Linked DNA regions of Drosophila melanogaster. The protein of the gene in region 1 interacts with the protein of each later gene in a biochemical or structural test. Each region holds a gene or a part of one and is shown in the gene's direction. Other genes may lie near its edges. The genes, in order: DIP-gamma and dpr16.

Evidence for each region.
Region 2: the proteins of DIP-gamma (region 1) and dpr16 form a complex in vitro, tested with the Drosophila melanogaster proteins (one study listed by BioGRID).

The regions. Positions count from the first base shown.
Region 1 is NT_033777.3:28,966,745-28,973,597, reverse strand, and holds the start of DIP-gamma (Dpr-interacting protein gamma), read left to right. Parts: upstream 1-3,225; 5' UTR 3,226-4,267; intron 4,268-6,853.
Region 2 is NT_033777.3:5,147,940-5,155,091, forward strand, and holds the start of dpr16 (defective proboscis extension response 16), read left to right. Parts: upstream 1-2,968; 5' UTR 2,969-3,347; intron 3,348-5,583; 5' UTR 5,584-5,992; coding exon 5,993-6,158; intron 6,159-7,152.

The DNA.
Region 1 (6,853 bases):
TGCTGCCAGGTGCAGTTGCAGTTGCACTTTCAGTTGCAATTGCTGTTGCAGTTGCAGTTGGAGCTACAACCGCAGTCAAAGGGCTCAAAGGACAAAAAGGGGAAATAGGCACGAAAATAGCAGGAAAAAAAAAAACAGAAAAAAGCTGAAAAAGAGCCTAAGAAGTAGACTTGAAACAGTTCTCCCTTTGCGGTGTCATTTGCAATTATGTGGCCAGGCCATGCATGGCAGTTTGATGAGCTCCCAGCTGGAGAAGACTTTAACTGCAGCCAATGTGCATTAACTGGGAGATAAAAGACTTTCTATGTATCCAAGAATCCCCGCAAGCCTTTGGACCGGCTAATGGAAAAGTGCATTGGAGGATTGGACTTGCTACTGATTCATTAGACGATTACTCGATTACTGGCAACGGACTCCAATATTTATTAAAGCCAGCCCCGGAGTGTGACTGCAAAATTAACTCAATTTCCACTTCCTTTGTTCTGGAGTTTTTGTGAAACTGAGATGATTTTCACTTCGGCATTTTTCCATTTGGCCAAGACAAACACGACACGAAATAGTAGGGAAAAGCAGCCAGAAATATGAGAAATATGAAAATTGAGAATGCAAACACAATTTGAATGCTCGAAGCAAGAGCGAATCGAGCTGAAAATTGATGAATTTTCATCTACAATGCTGAGACTAGAAGGCAAAGGCAAAAGCAGCTCCCACTCTGCAGGCTGGTGAATTTAATTAGTTAAGGATGGGCATAAACAAAAATTCAATTCCCCGGATATCCCCAAGAAATCGGTGCTCGACAGCAAATTAATTATACGCCACTTGTATTTAATTAGTTTATTGAATGGCCAGCCAGCACTTTGCAATCAATTCGAATATTTTCATGTGGCTGCAGATGCAGCTGCGATAAATGTGGCAGTCAACACTTCAGACTTGAATTTGTCGGACTTGGGTCGGCACCCGTTTCCTTGCTTCGCTCTTCGGTCCTTCTAACAAGCTCCCGAATCTGATTCTGGTTGTGATTCTGATTTTGTTCCTGGTCTGCTCTGGTCCTGGTCCTGGCCATTCAAACGTGCAATCTGAAATCGAAAAATCAAAACCCAAAACAAATTCAATGTCCCGAACGTGTGTCTGTCCGTGTCCGTGTCCTTTGCTCCGTCTGTGTGGGCTTGGGATGGGGCCACTCAGCAGGAGCAGTGGCAGGATAACGAATGGAGCCAGGCACAATGGGTAGAAAAGTGCAGTTTGCGGTTGAAAACCGGATATTTTCTTTTCGCCCTCGCTGGCAGGTGAACGCAGCAGCAGCAACAGAAGCAGCAGCCTGACAAAAACAGCTCGAAGGACGAACGGCTGCAGACGAAGACATGGCTCTCAGGATCAGACGGAAGCCGTTTGAGGCGAGGAAATGGAGAATAGTTCTTTTGGCCCGGCCTAAGCATTAGCACAGCACCAGATCAGCCAGATACCCCAGTAACCAGTGTGCAGTAACCAGATACCCAGATGCCCAGATACACAGATACTCAGATACGAGCATAAACGTTATTAATTAACATTCTGCCTGGCTGTCCCTAACAGATCCCGCCTAGATTTGTCCTGCAAAAGTTAATTGAATATCAAGCTAAAAGCGGCTGAAGAAGATCAGGAAAATCAGTGAAAACCCAGCTGAATGCGATGAGATTATTAAACGTCCCATCCGCTTTTCCCTCTTTGCAGTAACGAAGAGCTAACGACATAAACATCAACCGGCAGCCAATTAATGACAGCGAGCTACAGCGTTTATCGTTTCACTTACAAGCCAATACAGCGGAAAAACCCCTACATTTTCCACCCATACCATCGCCCTGTTAGCCACCTGTGAGTGTGGCCCAAAGGGCAGACAATGAAAATCAACTAAGCAATTGGCAACTAAACGAGACACCAGGATCCAGCTCTCCAAGCCGCTGCAGCAACAAAATGGGCCAAGAAAGCGCAGCTGGCTACTGTTTCCAATTAGTTGGCCATGACTGTGGCAAAAGTGTTGGGAAAACGGAGAGGGTGAGAGGAGTGCCGAGGCACACATGCACTGGCTGCAAAATGAAAATGAGAAACTGAAGAAAACAGAGAAATGGAAACTGAATTATTGCTCAGGACGAAACAGAAGTGGGGGGAAAATAAGGGGCCACGGCGCTTGACTCTAACATAAATGTAATGCTTTTATTAGTTATCGATACCAACACATACATACCCCTGGGTGTAAGCTAGTACACTGAGCAAAATGTCCAAGTTTTTACAAAATACAATTTTTTTTATAGGAATAATGATGAACGCTATTATTAAAAGAATATTTTCAAATAAAATGAATGTAATATTTAAACTGAAATACCTTGCATATGAGATAATAAATGAAATGCCTTTTTTAGTAAAAAATTTTAAATAAAGGTTTTCATATAAATTTGTATACTTTTACATTGTTTTTTCAAAGTTCCTTCATGTGTAAGAGCAAGAAAGATATGAAAAGAGTATAAGCGTGTCCCGCGAGGGGTGGTGATCTAAGGGGGCGGGATTGCGACTCCGGGGAAGACAGCGCTGGTATCCGGCGCCAAAGATTTACCAAACATCCGCTGGAAAATACCCCACTACGATTGCGACTGTGACTCCGGCAGCTGTTGTTGTTAGCCAAGTTCGTTGTTGGCAAACGCGATTGCAGCAAATCAGAAAATACTCGCACAAGTGCGAATGTGAATATTGATGCCACGGCGTAGGTATGTTTGACTTATAATATATGTATAGACATACATATGTGTGTGTGTATGGAGCTGAATGTGTGTTTAGTTGGCATTGCAAAACACAAACACAAAACTTCCATTCTGGTCGTGCTCCGCGAGTCGACTTTAGCCAGCCACTTGGCGCTACTTCGCCCACTTCAGCGCCACTCCACCCACTCAGCGCGCCCATCCACACACACACACAGAGGCACACCCACACACACACACACACACACACCCAGACATGGCCACAGAGCGCTCCTTGCTCGCTTACTTGCTACTTCCGCTTCCGAATCCGTTTTGTGTGCTGTCGCCGCAGAAATTTAACGAAGTCACACGTCGCCAATGCCAGTTCCTCTCGCTCTCTCGCCAAAAAAGCTCTGCGAGCCAGCATCCGAAGCATCCGCGTCATCGTGCCGCTCGTCGGCATCCTTCGTGCGTCCAGCCGTTTCGGCTCCAGATGGCAGCATCCTTTTTCATGCTGGCTCAGTTGCGAATTCAGTTTCGGAGCGTTCGGTGGTGGAGAGCAGCTGCATTTGTGCATTTCGCATCGAACATTCATCGTGATCCCAAGCGCACGAAGTTGTTGTTTTGTTTTGGTTTTTGTCGCCAAATTTCGCGGGATTTTTTCGTGAACGTGTGTGTGCGCGTGCATTTATTTCGCACACTGTCGACGGGGCAATACCAGGATCTGTCGCCTGTCTTCGCCTCAGACTTCTCCTCCGGATCCTGCGGAGCGGAGCGTACGTATTTGTGGCTTCAACTCCGTGTGTCGTATGTGCCCGTGTATGCCTCTGTGTGTCTGTGTGTGTGGCGTACCGGCATACCGTCTTTGTTGTTGGCCACCATTGTAATTGCAGTCAGTGTGGCACTGGCAACGCGGCGTATACTTGACATCTTCGCCGCCAAATTGTGCGATTTCTTCGACTCGTTCAGCTCTCGCGCTGGCTCCTTGAATGCGGCTCCTTGTGACATTGGCGTGAAGACGTGAAGAGCCCTCAAAATCCGCTATTCCACTGTGTTCGCAATCCATTTGCCTGCTGCCCTGGACGGGCAAACAAATTTTTGCAATTCAATTTCTATTGTGCATTGCCGATGCGAAATGTGCGCATCGTTTGCTGTCAATGCCAAGTATTCCGCATAAAAATTGAAAATTGCATGCAAATTAAATAAATAGAGTTCCGGTGAGGAGCTGAGCTGAGCTGCGAGTACCAGCTGAGATAGACACTCAAGAACCCATCCTATTCTACATACTCATCGCACATACGTACATATGCGAGTATCCTTGCGAAAATGACAGTTGTGAGTTGTGGCTCAGATTTGGATTCGCATGCGGGGCGCAATCAAAGCAAACGTCATTAGCACTCGCGACATCGCCTTCGATTGACAGCGGGAGTTGGAGCAGCGGCAGGAGCAGAAGGAGGTGCCAGATCCTGCGGCAGGATTCAGCAGCCAGGAGCAGGCACGAACAACTTTACATTTGCATAACTTCGGTGCAGCTCCAGCGTTCAGATTCCGATTCACAGGTACGAGAAAAACTCCTTACCAAAGTCGATTTCCGTTTCAGCAACCCCTTCAGACCGCCCGCCCGCACCGCATCGCTTTGCAACTTTGCTATCATTTCTATTTTCCTGTTTCTGTTTTTCATACCCGATATCTGTATCCCCACCAACATTTTGCGCCCAGCGCCCAGAAAGGGTAAAATCGGAGAATATTCAGCTCGTGCCATGGAGTTGGGCTGTGGCAAATCCATTGTGGTGCACTCCCGAGGTGGCTTGGATTCGCGAGCTCAGGGCCGTGGATTTACCTTTTGGGTGGTCCTGGGAGGTTCTGGCTGGTCCTGATGGCGATTAAGGAACAAACTCAGTTCGCTTAGCAGCATTTAAGCCCTCTCAGTTTTTTAGGTCAGCTCAGTCGCTCTTGATTTAATGATCCAATAAGGAGCTTCTAGGATGTTCAAATTGAAACCTGTTGGAGTGAATCAAGTTTATCCGGGGCAGCAATTAGAATGATATCCTAATGTCATTTCGAATGGTCGGGAAATGCTTTTAACATTTTTTTAAGCAATTGCAAAATGTAATATTCATAAGGTACTTGGAGTACTAATTAAGTACCAATTAATTGAAAATTGCAAAATAAAAATGGCACCAATGTTTAAATCCAACTATATCTTATAACAATTTTAGTTAGGCAAAAGAAGTTTGCTTTAAAAATTAAAATTTAACGATATTTTAAGACCTGAAGACAAGAACTTTCGCACAGCTGAAAAACTCAGTTTAATGACACTGCCAAATAAAACTACTAGTCATTTCCAGAAAGTCTTGTTAGCATTTGATGTAAATTGCAAGGAATAGTTTTAATTCTTGACCCGATTTCGGAAAAAATCGTTGGTTGCTTTACTAGTTTGGTAACTCTGTAGTAGTAGTATTTTTTCAATAATTTTCTATAATTTATTTTACACACTATCACTAAAATGAGGGCACCTGCGCGTCCAGAGCTCGTGACAATAGCATCTCCGATTTGTTTTAGCTTTGCCAGCTCTGCTCTTTGGTTTAGTATCAACTTTACGGCTGTTTCAGCTCCGGATTTCTTGCCCACTCCACTTCGGCTCCATCATGGCCACGTTATCCAACTTTTAGTTATGGCTTTCGCTTTTCGCATAATGTCAGTTTTATTTGGTTTTGGTTTTCACTGACGGGGCGTGCGCGCACTGGGTGGCAGTGGGTCTGCCCAGGAGGAGCAGGGACGTAGAGAATGGAGGCCAAAGTCCCGTCTCAGATCCATGCCAATGCCCAGGATTCAGGATCCAGGACTCAGGACCTGAGGCCTCCGGCCCCTTGCCCGGCCATTCGGCACCCTTGCAAGATTTATTGTGCCTCATACACTCGTACACACGTACACATAACACCTTCTGCCGGGGACCTTCGTCCTCCGTCCTCCCTGGATCCCTTTTGGGTCCTTCTCAGCCGCGCCTTGGGTTTCACATTCAGCTCCATCTCGTTCTTCATACATCTGCAGTCCCATAATCTCTACTATTTGCATCGCAGACTTTGCTTTGGATTTTCCTATGGCAATGGATTTAGTTATGGTTTTTCTTACTCTCCGGCTTTCCGCTTCCAGCCCTGCCATCGCCCAACGCCCCTCTCTCTTCCTCCTGCTGTCCATCCGTCTCCTCTCCGGTTGCGCTTTTTTACTTCACACACACACACACACACACACTTATACAGATTTTCCCGGCAGTCGGACGTTTGTTTTTCCTCTGCCGTTCCGCACACACACTGAGCAAAAAAGGTTTGCCTAGTTATGGCTCAGAAAGAGAGAGGTAATAGTTGAGTTGTCTGGGGCAGGGGTAGCAAGAAGAAGGACGAAAGTCCTGCGGCAAACCGCAGCAAGCGTCCCAGTTGTTGGCCAAGGGCGTCCAGGAATGCGTCTAATGAATAACCATCGTAATCCATGCTGAAGCCGAGGCGATATGGAAATATGTAAGACAGATTAGCTGATTGTTAGTCCGCGATGGGAATGCTATGTAGGGGGGGGGGGTTTCTTTACTCGCTTCAGTTTTGATAAGTTATTTTAATTGATTAGTATTTCACCTCGGAAGTATTTACTTAAATTTCATTACGTGCAGCTGCCGTTTGCTAAAATCACTTGAGCTTAAATTTCATTGCGCTTGCACAATACGATTTGTGAATGTGAGCTTTAAAATGCCTTTGGGCTGCCATTTATCAACGATTTATTGTCGACTTAATAAATTAATTTGGTTCAAGGCTGGGAGGAAAATCTTTCACTTAACCTTGCCAGCATCCGAATTCCAATAATTTCCCAATCCCCAATCCTTTGTTATCGGATCCCCGCACTTTAAATTCCCAGTGACTCCCACTTTTCAGGCTAATGAAATTTGTGGAATTTATTCCTTACTTCTGACTTCATTATCATGTGAGTGCACACAAATGTATGTATAGTATAGTATGCGCCAGGGCAATCCATAAAATTTGATCCCTGATCCATTCATTCCCGACTCGCACGCATGCCACCGTGGCCTTTACGTTCTGCGAATCCTATCGCAACCCATCACTGAAATGGCCACCGCAATAGCTCCTTCAGTCCTCCTC
Region 2 (7,152 bases), about 24 Mb from region 1:
GCGAAGTGAGTCACTGACTTGGCGTAAGCAGCCGACAATCAAACAGAACATGATCCAGACATATAGTGCATATATCATCAGGGGTTTGCAGAAGGAGCTGAGCTGCAGCTTCAGCACAACAGTTGCTCCTTTCAATTTCCCCCCTCTTGGGGCTTTATTTTTTAATGGCTCCTGCTGCCGCCTCGGTTGAGCATCCATTGAGTCATTGTATCTACCTTGTAATATGAAAATCGCTTTGGCAAAACTTCATGATTGTTGCCTGCGCAAAATACGCTTTCCTTTTAACTGCGCACCATGATTTCTGGATTTATTTCAATCAATCAGATCACCAAGATGAATATCAGAAATAACAGAAATTCTTCTCTCTGATGAGAACATATGAACGTCCTGATCTTACGCAAATCTGCATATGTTCGTCGACTATATATAAATAATTTTTGGTTACTGCTTCAGAATCTTAAATTATAATTTTTGGATCCCATGCACAGTGCCCTCAGAGTTGCAAAAAAAAAATTAATAATGCTTTGCTAAATTAAATTGCCCGCTAGCTTTTCAGCTTACGTAATGTGCTTCTTAGTGGCTCGAAAAACATTCGATCTAGAGGACATACTGGATTACTGGATTGGCAATACCCTTTGTGAAGGTATGCAAAACCTCTTTGTTGGCTTAAGTTTCTCCGTCTGCCATTTCAGCCTTTGTTTTGTGATGCCAATAAAACATGCATTTCACTTTCAACCCAACCGTTGGCAAACAATGGCGAACGGTGGGATCCCAGGGGCGGGGCAGGACGTATCACAAAAATATCCTTCCCATCGCAACGCGACGATCCTTTGTGCAGCGTGCACTCAATTATTTGGTCGTTACTTGTTTCTTATTACCTTTCGCCCACCGACACTACGAAACATAATAACTGCGGCCCAAGAGGCGAAGATATGGCTTTGTTTGTTCAGGCCGGCAATACAATCGAGTTGCGGAATTGCGGAAATAAATGCGAATTTAATATGCAAAGGAATCGGAAGAAGCCAGCCCGAGATTGCTCGACGAATATCAGTTTAAGGTTACTAGGCAAAACGATTGCGCCACGTATAGGGCGAGAATAAAATGGAAAAAATTGAGTACTTGTTAATACTCAAAGAAGGTTATTCAGTTTTCGGCATAGCTCAATTCTTTTATTGAAAAATATTAATTAATTCACCAACCAAAAATCTGATCGAGAATATATAATCTTTTTTGGGTCGAAAACGCATACTAGGAGCGATTAATTTTCAACGAATTTAGTATACCCTTTAACTCTACAAATGTCAAGTAGAAAAAGCATACATAATATACAACAATATTTCACTTGATAAATTTTACGAGCGAATCTAAAAGCTTGTCAAGAATCATTAAGTTTCGGTGATGCACAAAGGATTGTTCTATATAACACGGTCAATGATATCAAACAAATATATTCCCTACATCTTTGTTTATTTGTGAAGAAAAATGTGGATTTGCAAGCATTGAGTTTTCAATAAAAATCTATTAAATGTAATGTATTAAAATGTATCGTATACATTAATATACAACCAATTTTTTTGAGTTTATTTATTTATTTATTTATTTACTTATTTATTTATTTATTTATTTATTTATTTATTTATTTATTTATTTATTTATTTATTTATTTATTTATTTATTTATTTATTTATTTATTTATTTATTTATTTATTTATTTATTTATTTATTTATTTATTTATTTATTTATTTATTTATTTATTTATTTATTTATTTATTTATTTATTTATTTATTTATTTATTTATTTATTTATTTATTTATTTATTTATTTATTTATTTATTTATTTATTTATTTATTTATTTATTTATTTATTTATTTATTTATTTATTTATTTATTTATTTATTTATTTATTTATTTATTTATTTATTTATTTATTTATTTATTTATTTATTTATTTATTTATTTATTTATTTATTTATTTATTTATTTATTTATTTATTTATTTATTTATTTATTTATTTATTTATTTATTTATTTATTTATTTATTTATTCATTTATTTATTTATTTATTTATTTATTTCCTATTTTATGTGAATTATTCATTAATTTATTTACATATTTATTTATTTATTAATTTATGTGTTTCTTTATTTATTTATTATTTTATAATTTTGTATTTTATTATTTTATTATTTTATTATTTTACTATTTTACTATTTTACTATTTTACTATTTTACTATTTTACTATTTTACTATTTTATTATTTTTTTATTTTATTATTTTATTACTTTTACTTTTTTTATTATATTATTTATTTATTTATTTATTATTTTATTTTATTTTTTTATATTTATTTATTTAATTATTTTTTATTAAATTAATTATTTTATTTATTTGTTCATTTATTTACTTATTTATTTATTTATTTACTTTTTATTTACTTTTTTATTTATTTATTTACTTATTTTTTTATATATTTAAATATTTATTTATTTATTTTTTATTTTATTTATTTTTTTATGAGTTTATATTATTTATTGTGGCCACAAGCCTCTGTTCGTGAGTAAAAGCCAGTAAATACTGGTTTTAACTGCCTGTTGATTCGAAACGGTTAACAGAATCCCTTAACAGTAGACTGAGAACAGCGACCAAACTCGCACATCGTCCTTGCATGGGGAACTCCAAGCAAGCAACAGTAGACATGTGGGAATAGGTGCACAGGGGAAGATGGAATACACTGTAAATCGGAACGAACGAATCGCGAAGAACGAAACGCTGTGAATCAGAATCAGGAGGGGAAAATCACCCCAGTTGAAACGGACCTATTCCCATTCCCACATTGTCCTTCGTCGTGGCAACAGAAGGGGAACATGGGAACACTGGTAATCGGGACCTTGCGGGACGGTACGAACGAATCAGGAGGGGTAAATCATCCCAGTGGATAAAATGGACCAAACCATTTGGCACAGGCACACTTTGAATCGAATCGCGAAATGGTCCGGATTCAGTTTCAAATTTGCATGGCATAGCGGCGGACGTAGAGCGGGAACAAAGCGCAAATTTCGGAAATCATTAATAAGGAAGCATACGTTTGAATTATTCGCGGCGCGCGATTGTGGGTCTCGAAAGTGAATGCACTTGGCACCTCCGCACCCAAAATCGGATTCTCGAACGGATTCTGATTTATCGCCGGCCGGTCTTTCATTGTGCGTATCTGTGCCAACCAGAATGTGGGCGTGTCCGCCTCCGCCCCCGCCGCGCCACAGAGTAAAGTGTCGCGAAGTGAAGTGCGAGAATGCCCGCCCTCGATTTCCGCAAGAGTGCTGTGAAATCCTGTGAGCTACGATTGTGAGTGCAATGTGTCTTTTGTAAATCAAGGAAAATCACATTTTAAATTGCTGCGCATTAGAACGGATACAGATACAGATACAAAGGCAGGGCCACAAGGAGGCAGCCAGGCAAGATCGAAAGTCAAACGCCGTCAAACGTTGATTGCGTCGTCGGCGTCGTCGACTACCAACGAAGCGTGGGAAATGAAAAGAACGGAGGACGACGTGAAGGATTTGACTGATGTGAATGGAGTGAAAGATGTGACCTGGCCGGGGTCCCACCCCTTCCCTCTGAGGCTGGCACGTGCTATTGTCTGCCCCCATCTATTTCAATTTGATTATATTGAAGAGCATATGATGTAATATATGGAAATGTAATCTGATTAGAGGCTGGCTAAGCTGAGCCCCACCCTGGAATCGTGCTGCTTCATGGATTTAAAAACTCATTAATGTGCAAAGACGTTAGTCCTCGCATCTTTGGTATCATTAGACGGGCAGGCAGAAGGTGGAAAACCAGAGCTGTATGGGTGGAGTCAGCCAGGCTGCTGGCAAATCAATAGTCGTCGAGGTGTTGAAACAGGTGCCAGTATTGGCCAAGAAACTGGATAGCTGTTCCAAAAAAACTGAAAAAAAACATTGAAAACGCGAAAAGGATTTTGTGCTTGCCAGCGCGCAGAAATTCGGCAATAGTATCAAGTATCACGAGGTGAAATATCAACAATTCTCAGGCATTTCTCTAGAAATTCAGATATCAAGTGTGTGAAAGAAGAGAACACTTTACTTCAAATAAAGACAGTTTTAGTACAGTTTGAATGACAAGTGCAAAGAAGTGGGAGAGCCAGGTGCCTCAGTATTTCAGAAAGTCATCAATATCCTCGTATTATTTCGGATTAAAAAACCACAAAATAAAGAATTTATAAACGGCCTTCAATCTTTAGGTTTGGAATTTGTGGCTTGTGATAGTATATTTTTTTTAACTTATGTTTTGGTGGGTAGAGAATATTGCACAGTCTATAAATTTGTATTGTTGTGTTTCATTGAGTAAATAAATGGCTTAGTATCTCAGTTCGGTCGAAAAAGCAGCTTAAAATTTGGCACACGGTGGCAAGTTTAATTATTTAAACAAATTTATTTACTTACACATGCAAAGAAATTTGTTCAAATTATATTTATATTTTCTGAAGGATTTTTAACGCCCCAATTGCACTTCAATTAGCCTAGCAAAAACAAAAAGAAACCGAAGCATAAGCGGATAAAGTGCCATAGTTATTCCCAGGAAGCGGTGGGGAAATTGAGAAAGGATCCCGACGTTTAACCTAGCAGCTGTAAATATATTTTGCAGATAGTTTCCTAAGCAGCTTTGCATTAAATGTATCTAAAAGATTTCGCATAGTTCACCACTCAGCTTAGCCTGTGCACCTCCGTTAGAATTATTGGTTGAGTAATCTTGCCCACTGCTCATATATTTCATTTCTATCCCGTGGAATATATTGTGATTTATACATACTCAATCCTCTTCGAAAGCATTATGATTTTTTGTCCGCTAAACTATAAACCATCATTGTGTGCAGCCAAATATATATGTGAAATGAATAAATAAAGTTATTTCAGTAGAAAAGTATTGCTGTTCGCCAACATGATTACTTGCATTTGCCCCTAATCTCCGTCTGTCCGTTGGTGAATTAGGGAAATCTCGCAAGTTAATGGGACTTGGTAGAAAAATAAATATCAATTTGTTGCTTAGCTACCCTAATTACACGATGGCAAGCATCGCAGGACATCCTTCTAATCTGGCCGTGTTATGGAGTGCAATAATGCATTAGGAGTTCCCATTTTTTGCAATTTGGGGACTTCGATTCGGCAGCTCGGGAAACTCTGAGCCGGATAAATGGGGCTCTGGCATTCATTTAGAGGAGTCGACACAGTTTTGTGGGCCAAACGACTATTTGGCCAACAAAAAATAACGAGCAAGCCATTAAAAATTTGCCAAACTCAGCAGAAGTGGAGGAACTAGAACTAATGGAGGGCGCAAAGGGAAGAGCACTGGGCTGGGGTCATGCAATTCATTAATTTATTGACTTATAATCAAGCCAGGCCGAAACTTACGCCCAGAGCCAGAGCCGGATAAATATCCATTTATCACATAAATAGAATGCTAACAGCAGTGAATCCTGCTGGTTTTCTCCTTGCTGCTCTCCACGCTCCTCGGACCAGACTTATATTTTGTTTTTTTTTTTTCCTTTTTGCCGTTCTAGCCTGGCTGCTGCGGTTGGCCTGCCAAATAAAGCAAGAAATAAGTTAAAACATACGTTCTGTGCGGTCTGACTCGGTGGAATAGAAGAAATCCTGGCCAACTGGCGGAGCAGCCCAGTCACGTCCGCACCACCACAACTACTGCTCCTCCGGCACAGTGCGGTATGCAAATTCAACCGAGAAGACTTCATAAAAGCAATGCAAATAATTAAATAACAACGCGGAGCAAACAGCACGCAGCAGCATGACATGCTACTTGAGTCGGCGAAACTTGGATTAACTAGCTGTGCGAAATAAATACGAAATACGAAATACGAAATACCAAGCACCAAACCAAATACGAAATCTGAACGTTAATCCCAAACCAATCCCAGCTCCGTTCCGCCCAGGTGCGACATCCGACAGTTGCCGATGCCCTCGCCCAGCGGAATGTCCTGGCGGCAGAGGGAGCGCGGCGCAGGAGGAACTCCAGGTGGACGAGGGGCAGGCATCCTGGCCGGGAGCGGGAGGAGTCCGGGAACTGCCAGCATACTGCTGGCGTTTCTGGCAGCTGTCAGCTTTCGTGGCATGCGAGCGCGTAAGTGTAAACTTCTTTTACTTGGGGTGATGCCGACACGACATTCCGGGCTACACTTCTACGCACGGATTTTGTGGAAAGTTTTGGGTGAATTTTGTTCTAGGATGAAACATCTATTAAGTACTTAGAAATAAATAAGTAAAAACATTGTATAAGTTTTATAATATAATAATAATAAGAGCATTTAATAGATAGCTATCTGATCATGCGTTTTTGACTTATGCTTTTCATGCTTCCAAATAAATTTGTTTTGTTTTCAAGGAAGTAATTGTAGTCAGATTCCAACTTCGAGGCCAATCATAGGGCCGTTAGCACTTTAACACCCCAAATCGATGTTATGAAACATCTGAATACCCGCCGTTAGGCAACCAATTGTGCAACTAGCAACTAGTCCGAATCGCTTGATCCCGTTGGCTTTCGCGTCCGCGGGAAAATCGCTTACAGGAACGCCCTGGAGAACTTTTGTTTACCATGGGAGTCCGTTCCAAATCCCAGATACTGAGCACTGAGCACCGAACACCGAATCCCTGCACCCCTGTCCAACTTTTGGCTACGTGCTCAGCTCCATTCCGAACTGCTAAGTTGGGTTGGGATGGGTCGAGTTGAGTTCCAAGTTTCATGGCTCTGCTGCTCCGTGTGGCGCTAAGCTTTTGTTTTTGCATGCATAGTTAATTCAATTTCGCACATTTTTGCGCAAGTGTCGAGTGAAGCGTTTGCCAAATTTAATTTACATGATGAGATTTGCTTGGCTGCATTGTCGTTGGCAACTCGTTGGCACGATTTTTATAAGCTTGTCGAGTTAATTTAATCGTGCAGTGCAAATTTTCATTTAGTCGAGCTCACACACGCGCTCCCATGATTGTCAGACACCTGTCACGCGAAAGGAAATCTCGCATTCGTATTCGCTTTCGGTGCCAGCAACTCATTACGCATACGCAGCGTGTGAAGATTTTGACTCCGCTCTGCTCGCTCTTGATGTTTGCCTCGCTTTTTG